Linked DNA regions of Drosophila melanogaster. The protein of the gene in region 3 interacts with the protein of the main gene of each other region in a pairwise test. Each region holds a gene or a part of one and is shown on either strand. Other genes may lie near its edges.

What was found.
Region 1: the proteins of CG7407 (region 3) and CG11357 interact in a two-hybrid assay, tested with the Drosophila melanogaster proteins (one large-scale study listed by BioGRID).
Region 2: the proteins of CG7407 (region 3) and stas interact in a two-hybrid assay, tested with the Drosophila melanogaster proteins (one large-scale study listed by BioGRID).
Region 4: the proteins of CG7407 (region 3) and CG15152 interact in a two-hybrid assay, tested with the Drosophila melanogaster proteins (one large-scale study listed by BioGRID).

Annotation. Positions count from the first base shown.
Region 1 is NT_037436.4:4,538,318-4,546,387, forward strand, and holds the start of CG11357 (uncharacterized protein), read left to right. Parts: upstream 1-3,733; 5' UTR 3,734-3,787; intron 3,788-3,802; exon of another isoform or gene 3,803-4,325; 5' UTR 4,326-4,590; intron 4,591-8,070. Other genes in the region: CG11353 (uncharacterized protein), read left to right, coding at 1-477, 550-681; CG32243 (uncharacterized protein), read right to left, coding at 1,090-1,714, 1,768-1,913, 1,978-2,336, 2,396-2,530, 2,606-2,694, 2,748-2,851.
Region 2 is NC_004354.4:17,621,408-17,631,444, reverse strand, and holds stas (stasimon), read left to right. Parts: upstream 1-3,549; 5' UTR 3,550-3,994; coding exon 3,995-4,016; intron 4,017-4,204; coding exon 4,205-4,505; intron 4,506-5,786; coding exon 5,787-5,915; coding exon of another isoform or gene 5,916-5,988; exon of another isoform or gene 5,989-7,181; intron 7,182-7,239; coding exon 7,240-7,750; 3' UTR 7,751-8,224; downstream 8,225-10,037. Other genes in the region: corolla, read left to right, coding at 76-263, 316-1,383; CG8326 (uncharacterized protein), read left to right, coding at 2,022-2,104, 2,174-3,089. UniProt on the Drosophila melanogaster protein: Required in cholinergic neurons, but not in motor neurons, for normal neurotransmitter release by motor neurons. Involved in muscle growth.
Region 3 is NT_037436.4:21,819,551-21,826,241, forward strand, and holds CG7407 (uncharacterized protein), read left to right. Parts: upstream 1-3,910; 5' UTR 3,911-3,981; coding exon 3,982-4,113; intron 4,114-4,175; coding exon 4,176-4,550; 3' UTR 4,551-5,021; downstream 5,022-6,691. Other genes in the region: CycH (cyclin H), read left to right, coding at 2,456-2,769, 2,846-3,047, 3,107-3,335, 3,391-3,502, 3,561-3,678; eIF2A (eukaryotic translation initiation factor 2A), read left to right, coding at 5,488-5,527, 5,700-6,691.
Region 4 is NT_033779.5:18,111,842-18,117,845, forward strand, and holds CG15152 (uncharacterized protein), read left to right. Parts: upstream 1-2,705; 5' UTR 2,706-2,841; coding exon 2,842-3,180; 3' UTR 3,181-3,379; downstream 3,380-6,004. Other genes in the region: CG44476 (uncharacterized protein), read right to left, coding at 1,001-1,229, 1,290-1,294.

The DNA.
Region 1 (8,070 bases), about 17 Mb from region 3:
ATCGGACTGAGCATCAAGTTCCAATTGTCCTTCGACGCGGCCTTTGCCACTGGAACAGAGATCTATACATCGCCCTTCGTAAGGGTCCTTCCATATATCCTGGGAGCTGTAACGGCTTGGCTATTGCAAGAGAATCGAGTCCAGTTGGAGATCAGCGAGCAAAAGGAACGGGCATGCTGGCACTTCGCCTTATTCGTCTTCTTCGCCTGCATTTATTCGACTGTCAAACGGGATCTTGGACCTCTGATGGCCATCACGCTTTTTGTGATGGGTCGCCTGTTCTTTTCGCTTAGTGTATGCTGGATGATAGCGCGCAGCTGCGATGGCCGGGGGGTGTGGTGGTCACGCCTGCTGGAGGCCAAGGGCTTCCAACATGTCAGTCGACTGTCCTACGCCATTTACCTTCTCAATCCGCTGGTCATAGCGTTATTCTACAGTTTAACCAACGCGAGCACACATGCGGATCCTTTCATGCTGGTGAGTACCATGTGGACTTCATTACCTTTTGTTTTTTTAAATGACTCCAATAACTTTGTCATCAATTTTTAGTGCGTGGTGACCTGCGGCTTTGCTGTCATAGTCTACCTGGCTTCCATCCTCTTTTCGCTGGCCTTTGAGCTGCCCTTCAGCAATCTTTCAAGTTTGCTAAATCGACGGCAGAGCAAGCCAAAATCGATTTAAAGATGCTAGCCCTAAACTAGATCGTTAAGGTCACCGCACACGCCTCCATCTGACAATTGTGATTGCTTTCATGTACAACTAATCATTATTATCGAATCACTAAACTTAGTCTTATCTTAGTCAATGTTACTTATATTGTATTTACTTATATGATATATCCTGTACTTCGGTGGAAACCATACTTAATAAGATAATCACTAGCTGTATATGTACTTTGTGTTACGTAAAATCATTATTCCCCAGCACAGAATATACAACTGTTGAAAAAATTTAAAAATCTGAATAATTTACTCGATATATGTTGGAATGGTCCTTCTTTAAAGGATATACATTGTGTATATTTGGCTTTTATTATATGATCGTAAGGCAGTGGAATTCACATAAGGTAAGGTAATACAAAATATTGTTTTAAGTCGATTTGCATATGTCGTAGTATCCAGGACATACTTCACATTTCTTTAAAAATTCAGCATAGGGATTCGGTCCAGTAGAAACAAAAAACATTCGTACGCGCCTCAAAATATCCGACGAATGCTCTTCAATTTCATTGAAGTCCCACTTTGGATGGTGCTTACTTATGCACAGTATTATCTGATATAGAATGGATTCCGTGGGAAAATAATATTTTAGCATTTGGCACATTTCCTCCCTCACAGTTTCCACAAATGTTTGCGTTAGCGCCATTATAAGCTTAAAAGTGTCGACTTCCAAATGCTCTGACATTCTACTTATCAAAATGTCGAAGCTCTCTGAGCTTGCAATATGTTTCTTGAGTTGGGTTCCGTATTCTCGCAGGTTTATTTCCTGCCCCTTGACTTTAATAGATAAATCTATTTCTATTTCTGGAAGATCACTTGGAGTATTTTCTGGTTTTTCAGCCTCCACAACCTTTTTTGATTTCTTGATCTTGCTATCAATGGGCTGAAATATTTTATCCAGCTTCGGTATTGAGGGCACTCCATTGCAACAACGAATGAGATTCACATTTCCCTCAATTTTAAATGATTCCCTAGCAATCTTATCCCACGCCGATCTAGAAATATTTTTATTTAGATTTGCGAGCAATATGAATCCTTTGATACCTACCGTTGCTGATTAACAAAAATGCTGGGATCATTATTATTATTATTCATCAGCGATTCAAGGCGTGAATTGTACAGATTATTCGTAAATAATACTAAGGAATCGGATAGACCAGCCACATCACCAGATTGTGTAGAACTATGAGGATTCTACATGAAAGACAAACAATTTAAACAAATTCGAATGTATGTTAATGAAATATGAAGTTTATACCAAAATCGACGAAAGCATCTTTTCACTGGCGCAGAAGTCGAAAACCTCTTCAGGATAAACCAGAAATGGAACTGAATGTATGATGATTTTTCTAAGTTTATTAGTCACACTGGATGCTTTTTTCAACGATTCGGGTGTTATTGGTATATCTTTCTTATTTGGGTGCCATATCTGAGTGGTAGTATACGTTTTTAGCTCAACGCGACCATCGGTTTGCTTGTAAACTCCAAGATACGGGGTGACCATTAGACCTGCGGCAAACCCCGTATGGGTCACAAATCGGTTCCAGGAATCAGACATTGAGTACTGTGACACATATGACATGCAACAGTCAATGTTGCTGGAATGTCCAGTTTCATCTTGTACAAATAAAAAAATATAATACATTTCTCGATTTACTTATAACTATCGAGCTTACCCACGCATCGTCGGCATCGAAACACCGGATACAGGCGCCAGGATCTACTTTCTTCGGCCAGCTTGGGATCATATACATTATTGACAACCATCACAAAAAATAAAGACGTGAGTGACTGCCCTTTGGAGTATTTTCCTGATATGAGAAAGTAGATAACATAATGACGCTTATTTGGAATATATTATTAATTTTACTATAACTATAACTCACTATAACTCCAGATCGCATGAAACATGTTAGAATCGAAATTCAGCAGAGACAGCTTTGCCTTCAATATGTTTTCTTGACCCGACGATATTCTGCAAACCTTGAGCTTTATAATTTGCAATTTTTTCGGATGAATCCTACTTACAGATCCCAGGTTATATCGTTGCCATGGCCCAGGATGTCGGCAAACTTTTGCTGCACTTCTCTGACTGTGGGAACTAAGTTTCCGTCCCCTTTTGGAGCACTCATTTTTGCAAACTTTTATTCCTGCTTATTTCTAGAACTTCTTCTGTTGCACGTAGAAGATGGAAGTTGCAACAAAAGGCGGCTATCGATAGTCAGTGCTGACGAACTGTCACTATCTAAGTAATATGATGTATTTACCAGTCATATTAGGGATATTTGTAATTTAAATAAACATTAAATAAAACACTTATCAAAATGTATATCTCTTAATGTTTATGATCACCCCAATATTGTTTACATTCGACTGTTTGTAAATAATTAGGTTTCATAAAAGGCATTATTACTCAACGAATTAAATATTATTCTAATTTTTGTTATTAAGTAATTAAGTAATTACAAAATTTAGTTGGCTGATAACGATATTAGTGCAATTTAAAAAGTTAAAATCTTAATGTTAAGTTAAAATAGGTTTCCTATCGGTTGAATCAATTATCATTGCGTTTCTTCGTAATTTACAACTTACGAATGGCGACTGAGCCGATGCACTTTAATCGATAGCAATTTTGGCAGATGGATCTTGAAAATCTAGGCAAGCTAGATGAGAAAGCGATAGAAATGGTCACCCCAAATTTTAAACGCGTGTCGATGCTTGAGTTCCATCCCTATCTCCCGCTTTCAGTTAACATTCCAGTGGTGTATATAAAATCTTATGCCTGGGGTTTTTGAAATTTATACTTAAATAATATATATTAATACTGAACATGTTAATATTTTTAAATGTGTTTTGATACAAATATTGTTAAAAACTAGATTTCTTTAACTCTGAATATTCAAAAAGTTTTATGAAGCCAACTCCCCTTAACAGCCCTTCTTTACAACTAACAACAACGCCTCTGTTAAATATAACAGTGAATTTCGCCGCTTTAACAGCAACTGAGAGCGGCTAACAGTGCGAGAGAAATTCGAACGGGGCAGCAACAAAAAAGAAGAAAAAGACTGGTAATAACGCTACGCTTCTCAGTTACTCAGTTCCGAACGGGCAAAAAACAATTTAGCGCCCTCTGAAACGCTCTGTGTTTTATTTTCCACTTAAAATATTAAAAAAGTGCATAAAAATTGCACACGTCGCTGATAACTCGCTCGGTATACTTATTCTCTAAAATACTGTCTTTCAAATCAGTTGGAAAATATGACATGATAATAAGTGAACAATAGCCGCGCCGAGAATTTTTCGACGAGTGACGGCGGTTATTCCGTTTTTTATTCAGTTTTTCTTAAAAAACCCAAGCGCATAAACAATTAAAGTCGGACAACACCATCGTTAAATGAATTAAAAGTGAATAAAAGCGCTGTCAACGCCTTTTTGGGCAGCGAAAAAAGGAAAGAGAAATCCAGGCCCAGCATCCTTCAGCCTGCTTCTTCTTCTTCCTCTTCATCTCCTTTTGCATTTCTTTTCGCCGCGTCTGTATAGGTGTTCGTGTTGGTGTGGTTGTGTGCAAGCTTGAAAATTGTGTTAAGTTAAGTAAATTTATTCCAGCTGCCAACAACAAATTGATGCCAAAAATCTATACAAATTAAGTGCTGCGTGCGCGTGTGTGTTGAATTAGCACTCCCAATTGGTGTCTCTTTCGCTCTAACTCTGTTTTTGAACTGTTACCCAAAGCGATGGGTGTGTGTAAGTGTGCGTGAGTGCTTCACATGGAAATTAATTAAAAACGCACATTTGTTGCCATTTCCCTCGCTCTCCCGCAAGGATTCGACTGACTGGCTAATGAGGAAGCAGCCAGGCGAACAACCAGCAGGTGACTATTAATACATAAAAAAAAGCATAAAATGTATGAAATTAATTATGCGAGTGCTTGGATACTATCTCTCCAGATTTCGAGGGGTTTTGTCTTTTACTTTTGCTTATCAGCATCCATTGAACAGTATCCTATTGTTGTCATTGTTGCTGCGGGGAGGGACACTTGCTCTCTCGCTCACTCTCTTTCATGTGTGGGTAGCGTTTTTTTTTTTTGTTTTTTATATACGCATCTATCTCTTCTTTCGCTCTTTTCTTCGCCTTTAAGAGGCGTTGTTGTTGTGTGCTCTTCTTTTGTGCTTTTTTCCAACATGAATTTTCTTCGCTTTTTGTTAGCACGTCGCTGTCGCTGAGGACTGACCTTGAACAAGTTCAGGCACAGTGGCACGCATGCCTGTTTGTTGTCCTCCGTTTTGGCTCGTCTGCTCCTTTTCGCCTTTTTCAACTCGTTGTCCTTGGCCTGTCCCACTGTGCCGCCTCGCTCCGTCTCCCTCTTCCTATCTTTCTGTGCGCCTCGCTCCCGTCTGAATGTTTGCCCAAGACTGCGAGAGTGTTTACCTCATCACTTAGGTACAGTGGAAATCTCACTAGTTCCGATACACCGCTTATCAATAAAAAATAACCCATTTCTATATCAATTTTTCCTGATATCAATCAAGTCATATGTATTCAACTTATTACATATTCAATAGATTTGTTATCTGAAGAAGAAGTCGCTAAGAAGACCGTGTTCGAGTCCCACTAAGATAGCACCATATCTCTAAGGGCGATATTTTGGATCTAAATCGATTTTTGTGTGATTTTCGCTAATAGACATTTAACACGTGTACTTTAAATTAATGTTTAATTTATTGAGCACTATGGCTTATAAGGAATTACAATCATTCCGTTCAGTTTAAAGTTCATTGTTTGCATTGGCGCTTCAAATTTTCAATCACATGCTCGTTGGCGAAGCTCTGATTTTTAATTGCGCCAGCTTCCGCGAGAAGCTCTCGCTCTCTCTTTTTCCCACATTCATCTCCCCTCGATCGGCCGTCTCTGTCGAATGGGCTTTAACGCTTTTTTCAGTGGCGCAAAATAACGTTGTATACGCTTTGCTTGACTGTTTGTTTGCCTATCAGCTGCTGTCACCGCTTTTCACCCGTTTGCGCCTTCTGGCCCACTGATAACCGGCGGTGCGAGGCGTTAGACGTCGGCGGTGTTACTTTTATTGGTCCGTACAGTGACCCCGAGATTCTCCGCCGACGTAACGTCACGTCAACGTTTTCAGCTTTTTGCTTTCTCTTTTACTCCCCCTTGCCGCGCCGAAATTTTCGACACGTACGAACTGCTATTCATTATTAATACCCGAATTTCGAGCGATTTGCGATCCTAAACAGTACGTTTATGAAATAACATCCTTATGTCTCACAACTTAATCTTTCAACTGTTTTCTACTTCCTTTTGGGTTTCTCCACTCGACTTATTCATGCTTTTCTAAGATATGCGAAAAGTAATCTGCATGTAGCAAGTTTCACAGAATTTTGTGTATAAGCACACCAATCTTAATAATTTTAAGAAAATTGTATTTTGGTCTTTATCAATGTGCTAGTATCAGCTAGAATATAATACTCTAATACTCGAACATAATAATTCATTCCGTTTCATCATGTGATCCCCTCATGTGAGACTTTCAAATTCAATGCTTCAAATAAATATAATGTTTATCAGATAATTGTTTTTTTTTTTTGAAACCAGCGGAACATCGAGAGAATAACACTTATTTCCATTGTGAATTTGTTTAGATAAGGCATACCAAAATACTTTAAAAGTTTATGTTCGTATAATGCAAATTGTTCTTTTATTTTAAACAAATACATACACGTGCCTCTCTTCTCACACACGCATTTGCTGATGTGGATACATTCTATAAATATTGCAAGTATTTGGAATTTCTTGATTGCGCGCGTAAATGGATAGAAACCAGACATCCACGAAATTTGTGCACTGCAGGAGAACTTTAATTTATTACTGGATTTCTTACTTACTGGATCATCGTGTGATTTCTTTAATTTACATGCGAGCGATTCCGAGCGTTGCAAGAACAGCAAAAAATGGCCATGATCATGTTTGTCTAGTTCGTTTTAATTTTTATCAGCAAAAAATTTAATTGAGTGCAAATCGCGAGCCGAACCGAGCAAGTTTCCAGAAATGTGAACTTCCCAAACACCAAGAAAACTGAGTCACCACACAAACATTTCGATTGTCTGCTTCAGCGAGCCCATCAAGGCGTCGTCCAGTTGCTTTTCCCTTGCTAAATGTTCTTTATTTTGCCTATTGAAATACAAATATGTGCAGTGTGTTCACTATCGAGTCCCAATGTACAAATGTCCCGTGTACCAAAGAAACGCTGAGAGTGCGTGCAGAAAACACGTTTTGTTCGGGGCTCCGAAACCGGACTTTGCCCTGTGAAAAGGTAAACAAAAGGCGCTTAATTAAATTTTCATACGCAGCCGAGGAATATGTATTCATAAGTTATTTAGCGTGCGAGAGAACGGGAGCGACCAACCCTGCAGAGGAAGTCCATAAAGTAGGCAGGACCTCGGCTTGGGCGTGGTTCCTCTAGTTTTGCATTTTTATTCCCCTCCACTGCAGCACAAGCTATTTTAATTGCCAATTTGCGGGGTCGCCGGTTTGTCACTCAGCCCGTCGTGTCCTTCAATCGAGCTGAATGTATTTGTCGTCGCCACACAGCCACCCCCCGCCCACTTTATATGATCCCCTCCATCGGGGGTTATGAGTAATGCCCTGCACTTTATGTGCAAAACAGGAAACTTCGCCATCCGTGTCCTGAATAACGAATACATGCAACTATGTACTTTCTACAACCGCAAGCTGCACTGGATGAGTTAATTATGGGCTTGAGCATATACACTGCGAGAAATGGGCCCGAGGCCTCGCATCTCGAATGCTTAAAGTTTATTTTTTCGACATTGTAAGCTTATCTCGGTGAAACTAACTTTGCCCTTGGGTGTAGTACAATCAAAGGAAACTGCGTCTTACTATAAAGAAAATAAAATCGTTTGTTTTTAATTTTGAAATGTATGATTCGACTATAAATTTTTAGTAAATATGTTTATGATAATTTATGATGACTTCTTTCAGTCTTCAAGTCAACTTTGTTTGATGAGGCAGTGATTAATATGAAATCGAGGTTTGGATTACTTGGATCAATTTCTGTGAGTGGAGGCCAACGCCCAAGCCGCAGACCACAGGAATTGGGCAAGATAGAGCTCGTAAATCCCGAGAAGGCGGCGGATAATGCCTCGGAGGTTCGGGCAGATTGCATCCGCATCCGTTGGCTGCGATGCCTGACGTTGCGATTGCGATTACAATTGCAATCCAAAGTGGCATCCACACCCGCACTAAGTTGCATTCGCCTAAATATCTGTCTGGCATCGTTATTCAACATTGCCCCGCAATTTGTTAGCCCACGTGAATG
Region 2 (10,037 bases), on a different chromosome or scaffold from region 3:
AATATTTTTTACCCTATGTGATAGTATAAGTTCATTTGTGTTATTTAAATGATTCTCAAGTAGCTTCTATTTCAGTCCAGGAATTCCGAAAAGAGCAAGCCTTAAAAAAAGAGGCAGATAAGGAGCTAGCCTCAGTGGACGACCAACTGGACCAGTCGGATCGCGAGTGGACAATTACGCTGAGAAGTATGACGGATAAGCTTAATAAGAAGATAGTCAGCGTTTTACAGATGGGAAAGCTGATAAACGAATTGAAGGAAGAGGTGAGTAGCTGCGAAATATCCATTCCAAGTGAATAACTTTTCCGTTTTTCAGTTGCAAAAAAGGAATTTGATTAAAACGGGTGTCACTAAGGGCGCTGAACCAAGTTTGGCTGGTGTTCCATCCGCTAGCACCATTTCACCATTTCAGTCCGCTTCGGATTTCCTCAACAACTTCATCTTTAAGAATATCAGACCAGATGACAATAAATCCATGACGAGCGTGAATAGAGAGATCACTACTAAGAAGCTGGAGACTCCTCTGCGATCCATTTTGATCAAATGCAAGGAGGTCGAGTCTGTTGCCATTTCCAACTCGCCAACAAAGCAAGTGCGTTTTTCTCCCTATCCAGAGATAAGCCATATCGAAGAGGAGAAATTTGAGAAGACCGATTGGCTTTCTCCTTCAGAAGAGGCAGGTGTCCCAAATGCGGAATTAGAAGAGGACAGTGACGAAATGGAGGCCACAGACGAAGATTTTGAGGAAATATCAGAAGAAGAATTCGAAATGGCGCTGAAAGATGAAGGATTTGAGCAGGAGGTAAAAGTAGAAAAGTCAGAAGAGGTTTTGCATCTAGAACAGGATAGATATGATGAGAAATCTGGCTCAGAAGTCGAGGAATCCGTATCGGATGACAAGGAATCCGGAGGGGAGGCTTCAGGAGAGGAGGAGCCGGCTGATGCGGCCAAACAAGTAAAAATCGGCGAAAACCCGAAGACTGATGAGCAGCTATCCAATGAAATTTCCGATAAACCACAAATAATTAGAGTCGACACTCTCTCTCCCTTCAAAAACATATCTTCCTGGGCCAGCGACGATATACCCAGCACCTCCAAGGGCACTCTTAATCGTTTTACTGCAACCCAGTTTATGAACTATGGTAGCAATCGCGATGAAAACGAGGCGCCGCCTTGCAAGCGACTAAAATTGGAGGAGGAGGAGTTCCCAATGAGCCAACCAATGCCGGATTACTTTAAGCATCCGTCGTCCACATTCAACAACTTTGATGATCAATCACTTCGATTCAGCTCGCCCCACAACAATTTTGACGATGATTACCTGCTGAACTTCAGCGATGATAATGATGTTACACCTACTGCCGCCTCGGCGTACATACTTTAAATTGTTAACGTATTTTGGTCAAAAATTAATGTATGTTCTTTATAAGAACGGACAATTAATTAATATCCAGATACTTATTCATTCATTGCCATTTGCAATCAAAAAAAATTTCACTTCAGCTAAATTATTTGTAGCTTTATAATGAAATTAATTTGCGTACATAATATGCATATGTACATTTAAATCATACGTATTCAGTTCGAAAGTGCCGTTTCAGACTTATTCTTCATTTTGTCGTTGCTTATAAACTAATAAAACAATAAATTAAGACAAATTCGTGACTTTAAATATTTAATTTTACTGCAAACAGTAAATTTTACCACTTGCAATAAAATACTTTTCTCATTACAGCATATAAATCTTTATTAAAAATGTATATTATAAAATAGGGGAATATGAAGACTACTTAATACAATACATAGTGTAAAATACATTTATATATTTAATCTAATATATATTTAACTTTAATATTTCATTTGTAATTCTGGGCGCCAATGGTTTGAGTCCAAGCTTTAATCGATTTGGTATATTTATGGTTTGTTTTGGTATTTGTCAGCATGCATCGCGCTTAGTATTTTAACCCATGCTGTCGATACCACGAGTTTGTTTTACAAAAATTGAACCAAAACCCAAAATAAATGGCTCGGAAACGAAAGATTCCCGTGCGCAAGCACCACGGCGTCCGTGATCCCCTCAAGCAGCTGGAACAGAAGGAGAAGAAGTTTGTTCATAGTGGCAAGTCAGTCGAAAAAGGCAGCTAAACTAATATCTGCACCATTTCACATTTCAGACTTTCCAAAGTAACGAACAATCCGCCTGTGAAAAAGGATGAGCAGCAGGTGTCCTTTAAGTTCCGTCAGTTTCAGCAGCTTGCCAACGCCACCAAATCGGGCAAGAAGCTAAGATTGGGCGAAATTGGACGGGAGGATAAGCCCAAATCCTCTCCAGGATCCAAGCCTGGCAGTAGTTCCTCCTCAAAGGAAACGCGTAACATCAAGCAGTTCGCCAACGAAACGGACGAGGATTATCTGCGCCGAGTGAATCGCATGACCAATGCATCCGTACGGGAAGCCCACTACGAGGCCAAGTATGGTGTGAACGTGATCAGAAACCCCAAAACCGGGGAGATTACTGTCCAAAAGAGGCCGAAAAACGAGATCGACGAGCTGCTCAAGCAGAAGCAAAAGGAGCAACGGCTGGCGGGCAAAAGGGGTCGCAAAAAGGTTCAAGTCGTACACAAGCCCATGGATGCGAAGACCAGTCGCGAATTGGTGAAGAGGGCCTACAAGGAGGCCCAGCAAGAGGTTGATACCGAGGAGAAGCAGAATGCCGGGCCAACAGAATTCAAACAGGATGCTGTGGCATTTGGTGAGATCGTCCATGCCCCACCTTCCCTCAAAATCCTGCCGCGCAAAGCGGAAAAAAGTGAAACCGTGCCGCGTCCAGGACGCAAAGCCAATCTCCTTCTAAAGTCCATGCTGAATCCCGACCAGGGTCAGTCAAATCGTGGGCCGGAGGACGACGACAGCAGTCGACTAAAGCTGGCTGCCCAATCTAAGAGCGCCTTCAAAGCACCCACCAAGGCCCAGATGAAGGGCAAGCGGAAAGATCTGCCCTTGGCTACGAGGTCAATGCTTGAAACCGAGCGCAGCAAAATGGTTCAGCTATACCGTCAGCTCAAAAACAAGACAACAGCAGATTCCTAACAGATTCTAGACTAGATACCAACGTACTTTTTTTTTTACATGAAAACAAGTTAACCTAATCCCTTAAGTTTCGTGAATGCGTTTGCTACCCACTGAAGGTCGTAGTTTCATTATAGAATGTTAAATATATTGATGAGATTTTTATTAAATCTATTTTCATACAAAATAAAAAGTGCACTGTTTAATTCCACTATTTCTATCAGTATTTCATGGAGGTGGTAATTAATATGGAGTCTTTTGGCAAAAAGAAAAAGGGCACTATTATGTTGATATTTATAGATACAAAAAAAGTACTTCACTTGCTTATGCAGACACTCACATTTTTTTATTTACGTATAACATTAAAAAATATAAATAAAATTTAGAGAAACTAAAAAGTGGCGCTAAATATGACAGTATGACCAGATTTTATTAGAAACCCACGTTCAGTTTTGTGCGGTAGCTGTGTACACGCTTGGACTTAATCAACACTGCGCCTTCGGCCACACTGGTCGTGACGGAAATTTCTGAAATTAATTTATTTTAAATTGACTTTTAAGCGTGATCGTTCGCCGAAAAAGTCGGCTAAAGTGAAAAGCAATAGAAAAAATTTAAAAAAATTGCTATTAGCGCAGTAGTCAACTACAATTACTCTAGTTAACGCAGTTTTAGCCAACTTCCTATTTTTTTTATATTGATTAAATTCATTGTTGTAGACACACGCACATACACATACGCATAGGCACGCGGATAGAGAGAAGAACAACAAATTGTGACTGGCGCGCAAATAGGCACACAAATAGCATTAACAATTGATAAATAGCCTAGACGCTAAATGAGTCAATCGTGAATTAAAATCGGATATAGAAGGCTTATTAAATTTTCCTTCTTCAACTCGGGCTTACGTACATCGTGTCAAAGCCACAATGTCTTACTGCAGTGGTGTGGGTGAGTGTGCTGTTTTAGTTGTTTTTACTTATCAGCTGAGCGAAGGAACGGTGATTAACCCGCAGCTAGTGCGCAGCCCGTGAAGCCAAAAACGACTATTAACCCTTAGTCCGTGCATTCTGTTCACCACCACCACTTCTGCTTTGGAATGCATATTACATCTGCATGTCTCTGTTTTTTTTTTCTAGCCATTTCCGCTGACGAGGGGATTACAATGCGCAATGGCAGGGCAAAGGCGCTCCAGGAACACTCCCCGGATCAGGTGGCTACTCCACTGTTGCCACAGGTGCCGCCACAGGAGCAACAAGATCTTAATCCACAGCAACAACAGCAGCAGCAGCAACAACAACAGGCCACTCCGCAAAAGCAGGCCATGTCCGCAGACGAGAAGAAGGCCACCAAGAAGTCCCTGGTCATCGTAGCGGGCATTTTTGTGGCCAGCTTGGTCACCATGTGCTATGTGTACGCCATATTCCCCGAGCTCAACGCGTAAGTGGGTCTTTCTGGTGCTAAAGCGCCACAAATGTGTGTCCCCTGCGCATTCGTGCACCTGTAAGGTGTTAAGTGGCCTCCATGTGTGTGTGTGTGTATGCTTAGCTTGTCTCGCTTGATTTGCGAGCAGAGATGTCGACCAATGATCCGCTTAAAATAGCTAGGCTACATCCAACTATGATTAGATATGCTAGGTAGTCATTTACCTAATGCTAGTTATCTCCATTTCGCTTCTAAAACAATATTTTATGTTTAAATATCATAGATATTACATTTGTAGGATGTAAAACTCTTATTGCAAATACTTATTATTGGCTAGATCAGACATAACTATTTGTATGTAGTGAGAAAAGGGCCATTTAATTGTCCAAATATTTACTATAACAGCCATGTTAAATAAGTAACTTAACTCAAATGTCACGCTTTGCATAAGAAAAACTTTCTGCACACGATTATTATTATCTTTAAACTTTACCTAAAGCGGATTGTTATTTGATAGTCTGGTTCTGTGAGTGAGTAAACTTATTTTGTTTAAAGTTCAAGACGTTTGTGTACATATACTTCTATCAATTTGAATTCATCAGAATTTGATTTGCATGGAATCAGCAAGTCAGAGAACAATCTTTGTTTTTTTTTTGTCAAATTTGATCAGCAAACGTAACGTGTTGAAAACTATAAGTGCAGATCCCTCTAATCTTTTTCAAAGTCCCTTGGCAGACCCATTATTCTTATTGATAATGCTGTGAAATTTTACTTATCTATTTTGTTGTTCTTTTTTGTGTTCGTGCCTTTTCACTGCATTGGCATACAGTGATTATAAAGTAATTGAAATAGTAACCAAATCATGATACCTTTTACGGCATTATAAAAACACTTATCTGTATATCGTGAGTTTGCTTCCATTTAAGAGGCGTTTTTGGGCAGTAAAGATAGGAACTATTTACAAAGAGTTATTAAAGTATAGTATTCAATAAATAACAATGGTTTTCTATTTAGATAGTTAATCAAATAGTAATATTATATACCAGTCCCTAGCAACCAAACTTATCTAAATTTGTAAATTAAGAAATATTTCAATTAAGCTCCAGTTGAGTAGCCAGATTTGACTGGAAAATGGCTGAAATTACAGAGCTATCTGGCGAGAGGGTTTACTCGCACACACACACACACACACATCGAGTCACGCCACCGATATATGAAGTATTTGTATATATATACATATATACATAGACTGTGTTTACACCTCGTCTCGGTTTTGTTCTTGCCCAACTTCTGCAGGTCGGAGAAACAACACTTGAAAATTCCGCGTGATATCCAAGATGCTAAGATGCTAGCCAAGGTCCTTGATCGCTACAAGGACATGTACTACTTCGAAGTGATGTTTGGCGTCGTGGTCGCCTACGTATTGTATCCTTTTACCAAATCCAAAAGTACAAATCCAAAGTACGAAAAATGGCATGAAAAGTCGGTCGCCGACTGATTAGATAATAAAAGAGTTCTATCGTTCGGCGGTGACCTTGACCCGATTACCAAAAATGAAGACCCCGCCACTACAAACTATTCACGGTCAGTCGGGCGTTTGTGTGTGTTTCCACCTTAATTAATTCACGATCACCGTTTGAAGCGCATAGTGTGCATATTAAATACGTGGGTAGCACGGGGAAGTGCGAGTGAGATAGCTGTAGGAAGCAGGGGAGCCGCTGAGGTTGCCTTCTTGCTCTTACTTACTACTTGCACTCTCTGGGGTGGACCGTATTTCTTTGGATTTTCCTCACACGCTAGCATTTCGTGTTACTAGAATTCAATGCAAACAAAAAAATAAACCCACAATGCTCAAAACTGGTTCTTCACTGTGCGTATGAGTAATAAAATAACGTATACGCAATGTTAACTGTGTTGCTATTAGTTTATTTAGAAAATGTTTTGCTAACCCAACTGGGTTTAAGATATTTTAAAATGATTAGTTTTTATCGGTGCGTGTCAAGTTTATCGTTTTAATAAGGTCCACTCCAGTGCACGCAGCATGTGCTACCTAAAAATCGACTTTGGTCGTTTATATGACGCATTCTTTGTATTTGTTGCTGTTTTCGTCGCGAAAATCAGCTGAGCTGGACATTATTTTGTTGTCGTCAGTGTTTTGATTTTTTGTATTTTGTTTATTGCTCTTCTTCTTCCGCACTCAAGTGCGTTTTTAGCAGGAATAAACAAAAAAATAAAGAGGCAACCTAGAAGCGAAATCAAAAGCTAAAGCACATACGTAACTTTATAGCCTTGCGCCAGTGTGTTAGTGAGCATTTTTTATTGGCCCGTGCATTTGTTATCGGGCATTTGTTGAATACGTGGTCCGATGCCAGATGGAACGAGACTGTGGGGGATTCTCGGACGATGGGGGTGTCATTGTCAACTCTTTGCGTCTATAAATACCCGCCCACAGACGTTCGAGCACGCGTCCAACTAGTCGTACGATCTGTCTTTAATCCCAAGCACAGTGGTTCCAAGAAAGAACGTATTTTGCTAGCCAATGTGACATGACATGTTTTTAGCCAAAAAATAAACAAAGAATACTGGCAATCTCCTAAAACATCTCTCTAATAGTTTCGCTAATTTTGCCATATAAAACATATCAATGTGGCAATACGTCGAATAGGTCATTAAATTTAGTTGCCACTGCAGGTATCAGATGAAACCGCCTACGACTGGTTACCTTGACCCAATTGAAATCCATTTATAGCCTGCAAACATTCGCCATTCCCGGATCGCTGTTCCTCTCGATTCTGCTGGGATTCCTGTACAAGTTCCCGATCGCCCTGTTCCTCATATGTTTCTGTTCGGCGCTGGGCGCTACCCTATGCTATACACTTTCCAATCTGGTCGGACGTCGTCTGATTCGTCACTTCTGGCCGAAGAAGACCAGCGAGTGGTCGAAGCATGTCGAGGAGTACCGGGACAGTTTGTTCAACTATATGCTATTCCTGCGCATGACACCGATCCTGCCTAACTGGTTCATCAACCTGGCATCGCCAGTCATCGGTGTGCCGCTGCACATCTTCGCATTGGGCACCTTCTGCGGCGTGGCACCGCCCTCGGTGATCGCCATCCAGGCGGGCAAGACGCTCCAGAAGATGACTAGTTCGAGCGAGGCCTTCTCCTGGACCTCAATGGGCATCCTGATGGCCTGCGCCTGTGCATCCTTGCTGCCCGGTCTACTCAAGAACAAGTTCAAGCACAAGAAGGAGGCGTAAGCTGGCCGGAGGATGTGTCCAAAATATATTTATATATATGTATGCTATTCCCCAAACCGAAACCAAAACAAACCGAAAAATCATTAATTGTAATTTATACACTACGCCAGAAACAACACACACACACATACCGATTTTTTTTTGTTTGTAAATTTTTTTTCGGAATGCCACTTTGGGTCTCGATCCACTATGTTTAAGACAACTACAAAATATCTGTGTTTATCCTATTATTAAAATTATTAATGTTTTCTGAACTTGTTCTTACCAAACAACTTTTGCATCATATATTTCCATCAATCGTTTTTAAGTTAGTGAATTTTTGTTTAGTGCTATTGCAGTATTTACTAGAAAAGTTCTCCTCTAAGTAAAACGAGTTAGCAGAAATCCATTGAATATTACGCAGCGTATGTAAGTTAAAAGATGATTAAAGTATGTATGTGTCTGCAAGTAAACGTTAAAACAAATACAAATTACAAATTATGTGTTTTATTTTCGGTCATATCTGGATCTAAAAAACTATCAAGAATATTTTCACGCTGTATGGTCAAGAAGTCATTTTACTCACATGAAACTTATGCAAATAATTTGTTTACTAACAGTGAGATTAAATTTAAATATACGTTATAAATATAGTGAAATTTAAGCTTAAAAAGCGATATATAAGCTTATAAGCTTAAAGCTATGCTTGTTTTGTAAGCTTTTAAAATGTTTAACGGCAAATTTGAATTTACTTGGCAAGAGCTTTGGTCTTCTACCTTCTCGCCCATCTTGTTCATTTACATTGGCCAAAACTTTGGTTTCCCCTGTCGACTATTCTTTGTTATGGCTTTAATTAGCCTTTATTATTCTTGGCATACTGCTCGATTTTTCTTGGCCGCCTTTTTGTTATTCTTGCGGTTTTGGCAGCCATTTGATTTGTGTGCTCAATTAGTTAGGCAAACTTTTTTAAAAGGATTAACTGCTGAGATCCGTTTCTCAAAAATATTTTTAATTTACTTTCGCCGAGACTTTGCGTTGCCCCACGAGATTTTTCACCAACAGTCGGCTGGCTTGTGGTTATCATACCAGTTAACTTGTAGAGTAAGGGGCATACTACATATGTCGCAACTTAAGTATTTAACTGGTAAAAGAAATCGTTAACGAGCCTTGTCCGTCCGTCTGTTCGTTCGTATGGACTTGTAACTAAAAGAGTAAGGATGCAATTTTATACATTTTGTATGCCCGATTTTTTAGCTGAGTAATGGGTATCTAATAGTCGTGGCACTGGACTGTAGTGTTCTCCCTCCTTTTTCTTAGAAGGTCTTCAAGGCAGATGGTGCTACAGGTGTCCACACGCACAGTGGCAAAGACAAAAAAACAAGGGTGAATGCTATAGCCTCGACTATCAGATACCCGTTACTCAGCTAGTGTGAATGCGAACGCGAAATTTCATCATTGGGATATGGATAAATATAAAATAAAAATGAGAAAAATTTTAAAATTGTTCAAACCGTGACCGGTTTGGCGGCTTTAGGGCGGGAGTGGCAACATGGGTCAACACACTTTCGCTGCGGACACACTCGGCTATTGATCCTGATCAAGAATATATATACTTTATATATTTACTTTACTCTACGAGTAACGGGTATAAAAACCACCGGAATTTTGTCAAGCTATACCGACACGCACATCATGGACAACGCGGCTCTTCTCTGCTGTTGTTCTGCTTTTCGTAATTGATTTAGGACGCGTGTAGTGAAACATAAAGGACCGTGATGAGGAAAACAGTGGGTATTGCCTATGGGGGATATGAGCCATATATGTACATATGTATGGTTCGAATCAACAGTAAGTTGATAGTTAAGAATATAGCATTGACCCAAATTTGATGTGCTAAAGAATTCGCGAATTCTGATATGTAATTTATTTGATTTAAGGGCTTGTAAGAACGGAACGATTGGGTTTGTCGTATCGACGCAGTACTGCACGACCGTGCCAGCATAGAAATTGTATTAACGACATCATAATTTCGCCTGCCATGCGTTTCATCAGTACAAAGGCGTACTCCAACTTTTGGCAATTGCCTAAAAAATATGCACATCTTTATTGGGCTTAAGTAGTACAGATATGAGTTTGGCTGCTGCGGAGTGTTCCTGTCTGTTTCAGGCAACAAATTCTGATCACTTAATGCGTACAGACAAATGTGAGTGGGCGTGGCAGTGGAGGCCGGGGCAACCAAAGGGAATCATAATCGTTTGTAAATTATGCACTTCATTAGTTGGCAACCATGGGCTTTGTAAAAGCGATT
Region 3 (6,691 bases):
CGAGCATTTACAAACAATGAAATTCAATGCAATAATTCAAGATTCAATTGAATTTTAAGTACGCCCAGCGCCGAGCTTCCTTTTGTATCCGTAACTAGAAACTGACGATAAGCTGAGGCCAGCCGACTGTCAGTCACTCAGTCCGTCAGTCGGTCAGTTAGGCAGTCAGTCAAGCATTCAGTCAGTCCCGCCGACGGCCATCCATCTCATCCCAGATCGTCTGTCTGTGTGTCGCGCACGCGCATAAACTTCCCACTGAGCCAGTTGGCCTGTAGGAGGGAATTGGGCCCAAACCCGAGTCAGTTATTGCTAGCGGCTAAGCTGTAATAGTGGGCCACACATTTGGGGATTGAGTTTAATAAAATATCCTAACAAGTGCTGAATTCGGTGAGATGAAAATCTTGCGATTGCCAGAGTTGGATATCAAATAATAAGGATCATGACATTTCACTTAACACACTTTCATATAATTTCTGTCATAGAGCATTGAACTAAGGCTTAATTTAGCATCGTAGATCTCATGAGTAAGAAGTAAAATCAATATTATGAAAATAAATATATATATAATTAGTAATTTAATTGGTTGCCAATTTGTGTTAAGATGCCAAATAAAGATGCTCTGAAAGATCCGTTTAGCAGCATTACAGTTCGAGACAAAAACACTCTTTACCTTGTGAAATTACTGAGAAGTCGCGAAAAGATCACCAACCAGACGATACAACAGGAGTTCAGAGTTGTCAATAAAAATTAATTGCAATTTTATTGCCACAGAAGGCAGCTCCTGCATACAAAGTACTCGATATGCCTTACACTCGATTGATCTTTAGGCTTCGGAGTTACCAAGCAATTGAATGTCTTTTGGTAGCTCAAGTAAATACAAAATTAAGACTTTTAAGAGTTGTGAGCCAACTTAGGCACTATTGCCAATTAGGGCATGATATGGAAAATAAGGAGAACGCAGTTAAATAAATGCATACTACAGAATTAATGCAATATATATTACATCACCTAAAGTAAAAGTAAATATAGTTAGTTTAACCACTATTAAGAATACCCTTAGCCACAATCTTATTTCCGAATGGTAAAAATTTCTTTAAAGTTTATAGAACCAAAAAGGGAAGTCAAGTATAATTTGCCACATTTCTGGTACGAATAATAAAACGTTAGTCAAAACGTAGTCATACATATACATATGAATAAATACAGCGAAGGTAATAATTCCTATAGCAGATTTATCATATAGTGGTCAGATCCGTCCCGTTCAATCTTATATAATATTCATACTATAATCAAAGACACTCAAATAATTCTAGTGTCTTTGCTATAATAGTATATAATATACATACTGCCAGCAGATTGCTTCAGATTTAAATGACTTGTTTGCGTAGAAACTGACGAACGGATATATGTATGTGAACTCGGCTGCTGATACTGATCAAGAATATATATCCTTTATATGGTCACGAATGTCTCTGTTGCACACTACAGACTAAAATCAAAATATTCTCTGAAAGGTATTCCCAACAAAAAACGCTATATCCTGGGATAACCATTGTATTCTTACGATTAATTTCACAAAATGAATTAAGAAACTATAATTGTACAGAAACGATTATTTAAAGGATTATTGCCGTTCAAAAACGAAAGAGTAATTCCCGCTACTGTTCCGCTGTTTTCACGTCCGCAGATTTAAGTGACCCAATTGCAAAAACAAAAGCAAAACAATATTAATTCAACTCTGAGCCGACTGATGCTGCAGGCACCTCAAAGTTAAAAAATGCGTAGCACGTGCGTTCAGAAATTCGGCCAAGAAAAAAGGAAACTGTTAACTGGGTCCATAAATTCAACTTTGTTGTATATACATACATACATACTGTATGTTCATATAAGTACGTCACTTTAAACATCTGCCTTCGTTTCCTTTAACTCTTTAATTTATTTTTGATCCAGCTTTAATAACTATTAATTTATTATTCCTATAACTTGTACGTTGAATGGGCATAGGTAATTTTCTTGAAATATGAAATATTTAAAATGGAATGCATTCTGTATGAAATGTATTCGGGCCTAAAAAGATGATTGTAGTTATTTAAATTTGAAACTAGATTTTTAATACAAGAAGATTGATAAAAAGTTATTTTTGATTTATATTTAATAAATATTTTAGAACTAAAACCAAAATAAATGATGTTTTCCCTACTAAAATTATACTCGAACTTGTAGCTGTATTAAAACGTGTTCACTTATTGATTAAATCATAGCCCATACAGTTAGTTATACGTTCTCAATTTTTGCCAATCTTGCGCTTCTGATTTCCAATGAAATAAAAGTGACTATTGTACGAATCACCCTAATATTTTTTCACAACTGGTATTTTTCTCCGTCCCGCAATCGGTAACACCATGCAGGGTGTCTGAGTTTCGAATCGGCATAAATTCGCCGGCAGCTGAGCAAGATGTATCCTGTGAGCTCGCAAAAGAGGTCCTGGACATTCGCCAATGAGGGCCAGCTCATGGAGTTCCGCGTGGAGCAGAACAGCAAGTACATCGAGTCGCACGAGGAGGAGGCGCAGGGTCGCGACCTCAATGAGCACTTTCTCACGTCGGCGGAGGAGCGCCTGTTGCTGAAGCAGTACGAGATCTACCTGTTCGATTTCTGCCGCCGCTTCGAACCGACGATGCCCAAGTGCGTTGTGGGCACGGCCTTCCACTACTTCAAGCGGTTCTATCTGAACAACTCCCCCATGGACTATCACCCCAAGGAGATTCTGTAGGAACGCTCACCTGAGAGCAGCAAACACCCAGCTGAAAAGCAAAACATTCTAAAAATGTATAAACCTTTTCAGAGCCACATGCGTGTTCGTTGCCTGCAAAGTTGAGGAGTTCAACGTGTCCATCAACCAGTTCGTAAACAACATCAAGGGCGACAGGAACAAGGCCACCGACATAGTGTTGTCCAATGAATTACTGCTGATTGGACAGCTCAACTACTACCTCACCATACACAATCCGTTCAGACCCATCGAGGGTTTCCTGATAGATATAAAAGTGCGATATATATTCACATTTGCTCTCCAGATTGTTTCGTTCATATTGGTTTGTTTCAGACTCGCAGCAATATGCAGAATCCAGATCGTCTGCGGCCACATATTGATAGTTTCATTGATTCCACGTACTACTCGGATGCCTGTCTTCTGCATACGCCTTCGCAAATTGCATTGGCTGCCGTCCTCCACGCGGCCAGCAGAGAGCAAGAGAATCTCGATAGCTATGTGACGGATCTTCTGTTTGTCTCCGCCAGGGAGAAGCTACCCGGACTCATAGATGCCGTGCGAAGTAAGTTTGTGCTGTGAGATGGTGCGCCCAGCCCTACATGCCTTTTTCCCGACAGAAATTCGCATAATGGTGAAGCAATATCAGCAGCCCGATCGGGAGAAGGTCAAGGCCATCGAGAAAAAGTTGGACAAGTGCCGAAATCAAGCCAATAATCCTGATAGCGAACTGTAAGACGCCCTAATTTGTTCATGCATTCCGAATTTAATAACCCTTATACTTTAAAAGCTATAAGGAGCGCCTACGCCGATTGTACACCGATGAGGATGACATGCCCGCCGAAGATGCCTCATTCCACATTGCAGATGTGAGCTCGGACACATCTGCTATGAACATCAGCCAATAGACTTAAGAATATTTATTTAAATGATGTGATGATCTACTACTGCGTGGATTTCATCGATATTAAAGCATTTTGTAATTTACCATTTCTTGATTGTTAAAATGTATGCGTTTAGTGTTAGTTTACTAAACAAAGTTGGATTAGGTACTTCACTTTTCCAATATATAAAATATTAAAAAAAAAACCTTTTGAAAATCCGCTTAGCGCTGCTTGGCAATATTTCGTTCGCAGCTAACGGCCACACTGCGCCCCAAGAAAAACAAGAATAGTGAACTCAGTCACAACAAATAGCAAAAAGAGTTCGAAATGCAGGATTTTCTGCCTTCGCTGGATGTTCTCTTTCTTGGACTACCAGGCCACTACTCGGTAGCGCTGGTCACCCTTCTGCTGTGCGTTTTGGTCGCCTTCTACTTCGCCAACATCTTCAAGGACAAAGGCGTGGGTGTTTTTGCCGGAAGAAGTAGACGTCTCCTGGAATATTTCCTTACATTATCTTGCAGGAACTGGAGGACGAGGGCCTGGGGGCCGACGAGCCGCGCGATGAGGAGGATTCCGAGTCACGGACTCCGCAAGGGGAGGAAACCGACGATGACGAGGCCTACGAAGAGAACTCCACCGAAAGCGAAGTTGAGCTAATCGAGGAACAGCTGCCCGAGCACAGCTACAACCACCTGATGGGCCAGCTCAAGGCCAAGAGGCTCCAGCATAAGATGGAGAAGACCCTGACTCCCAGCCAAATCGAGGAGGAGCGCCGAATAGAGCGCGAGCAGCTGGCGGCCATCTTTGAGCTCCTGCGCAAACAGGAGGCGGAATTGAACCTCCAGGACCGAATAAGCGACCAGGATCTCAAGCAGCAGGTGCGGCTCTATCGCTGAAGTGGCGCCGAGCCTGGGCTCACCCTACCTGAATGTACAGACTTGTGTGATCTATTAGTTTAATGTTTAAAATTCCAAGATTTGGTGTTGCCTCATACGGTCCACTAAGTGCGGGCAAGTCTTTAGTCAGAGAGCTATCTCATCAGTCGATGATGTCGGAATATAATATCTTAGTTGTATGTAAATTATATGTATTCCACTTCGATCTATGTATTTTGTGAGTTCCTGGTGTTATTAATATCTGATTTAGATTTGTAGTAAATGGCTGTTCGGCTCTTAGTCTCTTAAATCAGCTTTCGAATTAAGAATATATGTATATATTTTAACGTGTTACAAGATAAAAACTCGCGATCAGAAAGTGTATAGATTTAAACACAATTAATCGCCAAATTCGTTGGTTAGATTTAAATTGTGTTCATATAACTTTGGATTTATTTGTTCAATAAAGAATGTTTAGCTGTGTTAAGATGTAATATATACTCTAAATATTTCCTACCGTTTCCTAGCCAAATATCCGAAAATAACCGCTCATATTTTATATGCCGCGATTGGATTTTTGAAAATAATTGTTCTAACATATAGATTCCATCAGCACACCTTCGATTGGAGCAGTCGAAATGCTTAGCGTTTCTGTTCCAAATTTTTTAGTACTAAAATGTTTTTAAATTCACGTGGAGCAGATATTTTGTTGGAGTTCTAAATACGTTCGGTTTGGTTTGGTTGATGTTTAAACGTGTCGTTGTGGCGCCAATGCCCATGCATGTTTACTATCGCTTATCGATACACCGCGTACACGGCAACCGTGTGTGACCAATTCAAGCACGAAATCGTTGACCAACACTGATTGTACATCAGACGACACGACAACAAAAACAACAGCAACAACACCACCGACGTGCTTGTTCCTGTGTGTGTGTGCGTGTGAGATTGGAAGACAATGGCTGCAGCTGCGGATCTGGTTGTTCCTACCCTTGCCAGTGAGTATAGCCCGGATGCAATCCCCGCCAGGTGGTCACTGAGGTGCCGTCGACTCCTTGGAGCATCGAAGGCAGCCGATTGGGCCGCCCGGTTAGCGGAAAAACTGGAAAAACCGCGCGACCTCGTGTTTCCACCTGCTAATCGGGGTCACCTCTCGATTCTCATCAACAGTTCGCTCTAGCGTGGCCGTGGAATTGTGGTCCTCGGCGGGCTCCAAGCAGCCCTTCGAGCACAAGCCCCACCTGCCGCGCGAGGAGACGAAGAGCTCGCGCTCGATCTGCTTCAGCTCCAACGGCCGGTACTTCGCCTACTCCAACGGGCAGGAAGTCAAGGTGCTCCAGGCCAGCCGGGACAGCGCAGCCAGCTGGCCAGTGATATGCGTGCTGCCCAGGCCGAAAGCCTTCTACCTCCAATTCTCGCCACGTGGCAGCTACCTGTGCACCTGGGAGCACTATGCCATCACTAAGGACCGGCCGGAGGGGTCACCCAATCTGCTCGTCTACGAAGTGGCCACCGGTGTCGAAGTGTTTGCCATCGTCCAGAAGAACCAAGCGGACTGGCAGCCCTCCTGGTCGGCGGACGAGTCCATCTTCGCTTTGGTAGTCGGCGGCGAGGCACTCTTCTATGACCTCGGCGAGGGAGCGGAGAAGGGATTCGCCACCACATCGCGCAAGATAGGAGGCAGTCGCGGCGGTATGCTGTCGCTGGGTCCCGGTAACTGCCCCCCGTTCCTTGCGTTCTACACGCCGGGAGCCAAGGGCGCTCCGTCCATGTGCAAGCTCTACAAGTACCCGGCGCTTGGCCAGAATCAGACCGTAGCCTGCAAGAGCTTTTTCCAGGCGGATCGCGTCGAGATGTTGTGGAACAAGCGAGGCAGCGGACTGCTTCTCCTAACCAGCACGGAAGTGGATAAGAGCGGTGCCTCCTACTACGGCAACCAGGCGGTGCACTTCATGGCAACCAAGGGCGACACCTGCTCAGTGCCCCTCTCTAAGGAGGGACCGGTGCATTGTGTCAAGTGGAGTCCTAAGGCAACTGAGTTTGTAGTCGTATACGGCTTCATGCCATCCAAGGCTGCTCTCTACAACCTCAAGTGCGACGTAGTCTTCGACTTCGGTGAGGGTCCACGCAACTGTGCCTACTTCAATCCATTTGGCAACCTC
Region 4 (6,004 bases), on a different chromosome or scaffold from region 3:
GCTGGTTTCAGCCACTTCAGTCACACTTTTGTGCTCGGCAGCCGTGTGCACTGACGCAAAGCGGAAGTGGCACTTTTCCCAGTTGAAGCTGGAGCGGAATTTCAGAATGGATGGGGGGATGGAAAATGGGAGCGGGGAATAAGGAATGGGTAATGGGGATCGGTAGCTGCCAGCAGCAGGCGTATCGAAAACCGAAACTTTTGATGGAAAAAGTTTGCAACAACAAACGCATGTTGGCGGGCAAAACAGGCAAGCTAAAAAGCTGAATAGCCGCGGCAAGGGCGCCTTTAAACCATCAAGTAAGTCGCTATAATTCGCGCGCACCGCCTCATGAATTTTTGATTCTTTCTTAGCATTTTTCACTCCGCCAGTCATTCTATCGCTTTCCATTTAATCTGAGTCTTAGCTTTGAATAATGAGCCCTGGCCAAGGTGCGAAGAACTGGGCCAAACTCGAGGGGGTTATCTATAAGCCGGGTTGATATGAAAAGTTCACACTGGGTAAGTAATTGCCTAATTCGAATGCATCGAAATGATAAAGTGAATTTAGTGTACCTTTCGAAAAATAAAAGTAACAATCTCCCATTAAAAAAACACAAACAGTAGACAGTCTGATTTTCGATATTATTTAAAAGTGAACACATTGTTGCACAATCGGTAAACAAGATCCGGAGTAGATCATCGAGCAAGATGTACAAGTTTTGTTGATGCGCTGAAGGAACTAAAAATGCCACAGAGGCAACTGCGAGTTTTCTCATATTTTTTTCCGCCGACTCTGCACTTTCTTTAAAAACCGCTGACTGATGCATGCTGATGACTTTGTCAACAACTTAAATTGTTTGGTGGCAATAAAGTGGACTGAAGTTTAAGTACATTTAGGACAGAAGGCAGCTTTCATTTTCTTCTAATGCAAACAAGTTAGCCCAGCTAAGCAGGATACATAATGCAATCAAATTAACTAGCGCTTGATACGTACTCAAAATCATTTTAAAATCCCTTTTTTAATTCCATCGTTTGTAGATGTATATGGACAGAACAATTAAAAGCATGCAAAAATTATAAAGAACACATAAGCCAACGAAATTAAAGTTTTGCAAAAAAGTATATGGCCTTGAGTCTTCCTCAGTTAATATTTCCATATTAGAGTCGTTATGAATCGCATCGGTTTGTTCTTGGTCCACTCCGTTGAGGGTGCAACTATCTCTATCCAATAAGACATCTTTTTCTTCACTTTAAATAAACAAATTATCACTTTAATGCTTTTGAAATACTTTCAAATAAGTATTATACCCCATTTTTTTGGAGGCACTCTGATCTTTTCAGCTTGAAGGCTCTGTATAAACTGGATGAAGGCACTCATCTGCAAACATGAAAAAATATTCAAGGGAATCGAATTCAAGAACGGAGGCACACTGTACTAAAATCTTTCGGATCGTATGCAGCTTGCACCATTAAAAATGATAATATATTGACAAATTTTTAAGGGACTACCGTCCTAAGTAAAACTATATAAGAGGTATCTGTAAAGTAAGTCTGAGATCACAAGTACATTCATTAGATAAATAACTAAAATTAGTGTAAGAAAAAATATGAACTAATAAAATAATTATTTAAGAAAATTTCTGAGAGGAGTAAACTCACCATAAGAACCCTAGAAAGGGTATTTGTAAGTAAAAACCAAAGCTTTCAGAGAATTTGACTGAAACTAAGAGACAACATTAAAGAGAACCTCTCAAGACGGAAATATATACAGCTGCGGTTAAAATAATAGCACTACTGGAGGTGGAAAGTTCATTTCCTAAAAATAATTATTAAATGTTTATATTTTTTAAAGTCAGATTGCATGAATAATAAGTACCATATGTTGGCTCTCTGAGCAAGAAATTTATGGTCTCTCAATGTAAAGGTTCTTTTTGTTTTTGGGCACTTGCTGCAAAAGTGCGCGAAATGAGGCGGTAACAAAAATAGCACTGACCACGTATTTGCTGAATAATAGAGTGATTGCTTTGGGTTTTTTTCGACAAATTTTGAAAAAGGAGTTGTATTAAAGGTTTTAATTGAATTTTTTCCAAACGAAGACCAAAAGTTCTCTAGTCATGGGTCGCGGCAAGCATTTTACCGTCGAAAAAAGAAATTTGATTAAAAACATGATCTCTAAAGGTAAAAAATACGCTGAAATTGGTGGCATTGTGGGTTGTTCAAGCTAAATGATCCGCAAAGCACTGCTGTTTGTCGAAAAGAACGAAACACGGCGAAGAAAGCCCTCAATGTCGCTTGGTTAGGCAAGGCAAGAAGGAGCCTTTAAAGCCGGCGACGGAACTGAAGAAGGAGCTTCAGATAGCTGAAAGCGGGGAAACTGACAAAAAAGAGAATCTCTCAAGACGGAAACAGAGTGCCAGAAGTATATAAGTACTGAAATGCCTAATATATGAATGTAAAACATTTATCGCTTTTAATAGATTGTTATCAAAGTTGATAGGGTTTGATGATTCGTAAGTAAGCATAAATTGATAACGTAGAACAAATTGATCTCTCTTCGCAATCTCTTACTTCAATGTGATTTTCTTGTCATTTTGAGACTCTTCTCCGCTCTCGTTTGACGGGTTTTCTCAGACTTATATAGTTATCTTATCTGAGTCACAAGCAACAAAAAGAAGATTGTCAGCTCTTGACGGTTCACTGTTTGCCTTGTTGTTGCCTCAATTACCACCTTCTGCCGTGGCGATAATAACCCAGACCCCAAACTGATTGGTAATCATGAAAAAGAGGGAAGGAAAAAACCGCTGAAAATGCCCGGAGACCAGCGAATCGCTCTTTAGTCGAGAGCAGAACGCGTTTTGAAATGGACACGGATGAGACTAAGGCTGGAACCTCGGGTCCGGGGACGTACCACGATGAGGTTGACTTTACCAGCGGATACGAGACTCAGTATAAGAAGGAGTACAGCCCGCTGAAACCGATTTTTGTACCGCCGCCGGATAAAAAGCACGCCTGGTTTCGCAACTGGTCCACCATACTGATGGTCAGCTTCCTGTCCGGGGTGTTTATTCTGGGAACCGTGATGCTGGTGGTCCAAGTTTTCACCGCCAGTCCCCTGCAGATCTTCATGATCGTGGCTATATATGTGGCTATAGCCGCTGTGATGATTTGGCTGGAGGTGCAGTCTATAAAAGTGCGGTGAAATAATATGTACGTGTCGTGACTAATTTAGAGCGTTATCGCACTTACGAGCTACGTTCTGTTTTCAAACAGTGGCAATCGAACTGTGTTCTGCTAGCAAATGCAAAGCTTAACTAAAAAGGAAGCGGCTTTACTGATTAGGCGCTAAGAACAAAAAATCATGATTTAATATAAGTTCAAAGTAAAGAAAGAAATCCCATAATCCATGTGTTTTATTTTTGACTAGACAGTGCTTTTAACGTTTTCCGATAATTCCGGTTCAATTAACTAATTATTTACGGCCCATAAATGAACGTAATCTAGAGAGCGAAACAAGGTGGCCAGATAAAGGGCTTTGTGTGAGATAAGCAAACAAAAGTGAACGAAAGAATCACGAATTCAAGCCATTTAACTGCAAAATAAATACGCATTTTGTTTGTCGATGTATAAAGGACAAATGTTGTAGTGACACATTAAAGCTCCATACATCACAGAGATTAACAAAGCAAAGTACATAAAAAAGATTCCCTTATCAATTAACTAATTAAATTAAGCACGCTAATTAAAAATTCATTAATAGCGGCTTAGCGATGGAGAGTGGAAATTCAATTATTTAACGCTGTTGTTTATTAAAGGAAGTGTCACAAACCGCATCTGCGCCGGTGTTTGGCACACAAAATTATTAAAATTATTTCCACTCTCACTTGAAAAAGAAAAAATACAACGAATTTTCAACTATGCCAGTTCCCAATGGAAATAGTTCTCTAAATATTTTCACATTTGCATTTTTCTAAATCACTTCTGTAATTGCTTTTCACATGCCACTGCTGGAAAAACTCCGACTCCCTCAGAATTTTCCATGTTTTTACAACAGTTTTCTCACTTGTGTGTGCCATCAAGTTGGTAAAATTCTAGTTTAATAGCTTGAAATGTTACGAACATTTGGTCAGCGTAAAAACAGCCGGACAAGCTTATTTCTCACTTGGAAATTCTAAAAAAAAAAAACGTTGTCCCATTAAACTTTAATTTCCGTTGACAATGGACGACACTTTTTGCTCTTTCCGTTTTTTGGCCCCACTCGAGACGGAGGCAACAGCTGACTTACCTTAATTACTCACAGGATTCCGAGCCGTGCTAATTATTTGCAGGGTGCACTTTTCAGACGGAGTGCAGAAGTCGCCAGCGCATTTAATTATAATGGCGCAAAGGGCGTCGAGCTTAGGCATTAATGCCATTTCCGGTCGCCGACCACCGGATGCCACGGCGCCGAAACCGCCCCGCGGACACTTTGTAATGCCATGGAGCAAAAAACCGGGTTGGAAATGATTTCACAAATAAAAAGCAGTAGCAGATATAACATTTTAATATCAAGGAAATGTCGTTTAAATACATACAACTGAATATTTATCGGATTTATGGCACTACATGCATACAAATAAAGTAATTTCTAGCATTGAGCAAAAGAATCAAACAAATGTGGCTATATTTGTAATTAAGCCCGCCATATCTTAAATCTTAATTCGAAACTGCCTTCAATACATTTTTGAATGTAGCGACTAAGTATGCAGTAGAATAAGGAAAAACGTTTTAACTAAAGGTGCCGCAAAGCGGTGCTTAAACCGTTTTGTGATAAACAACAATACAACCTTGAGCCAAAACAAGAAAAACGTTCGATATGCACATGCATTATTTTGCATTGATTTATTGCTCGATTGCCTGCTGGCTCAATATTGTACATAAAAGGCATTTAAACAAAAGCTGTCTTCCATTTTATTTCTGCCACTTTTTAAATATTTAAATCACAGCATTTTCCACAAGCGGGCAGCACCTCCATTATTCAGAGCTCGTACAAGCCGGGTAAAAAGGACACAAATGAGAAACTCAATTGCAAAGCGAGTGAAGGACAACTGTGGAAATGCAAATAAAATGTTTGGCTGCAACAGAAGCAGAATCCTAAGCTGCCCTCGGGAGCCAAGACATCTGACTCCACAGCCATGTTGGTCACTGCCAGGGGAATGTGTCTTAGAATTTGTTTAAGTAAATCTCACTTGAACGCTTTTCATTAGCCCACTCAGCAAGGACGAACTAGTCATTCCACCAGAAAATATAAAACAAGAATTGAAAGCATAGCTCCACCTAGCGGCGTATTCATGTGCTTTAAAAATTGGCCAGGATAGCAGATTGCTATTTTAAACCCAAACGTAATTTGAATAGATTCTGATCTAGAATAATAAAAACAATCCGACAACCTGATACATACTCCTTTTTTGAATTTAGTTCATTTATTTGACGAGTACCCGATATAAACATCACTTGCCAAAGTATTGCATAAGTCAACAACTAATGTGCAATGTGCGCTAAAAATTAATCGTACATTTCGCAATTAAAATGCACTTTTCACTCGGACACTCTCAAAGGCCACAATACATGACCATATTATGTTAATTATTTGTGTAAATTTTCCATACTTAAGCGACCTGTTTTTTCGCCATACATTATTTAAAACCGACAGTCATACTTTGTATGGCCGCCTTACTTAAAATTTCACCAATATGAATTGAATAAAAAACATCTTTTTTGCTTGTACATTTTAAAGCGCTATATTTCTTTATTTAAGTCCAAGCAAAAAGTTCTTCGTTTTAAATGAAACCAAACGGGAGAAGCGTTTCATCTGTTCCAATGAGCTCTTTCATGTGCTAGCCAGCACCCATTTGAATATTCAATTAAGTCTAACTGGCAATTCAGTGATAAGACCCACGCTGAGTTAGTCGCCACCCCAAAATAAAGCCAACTGAAGGCCATCTAAAATGGCCTTGGAACATGGCCTACTGGTGATAATGTCAGTT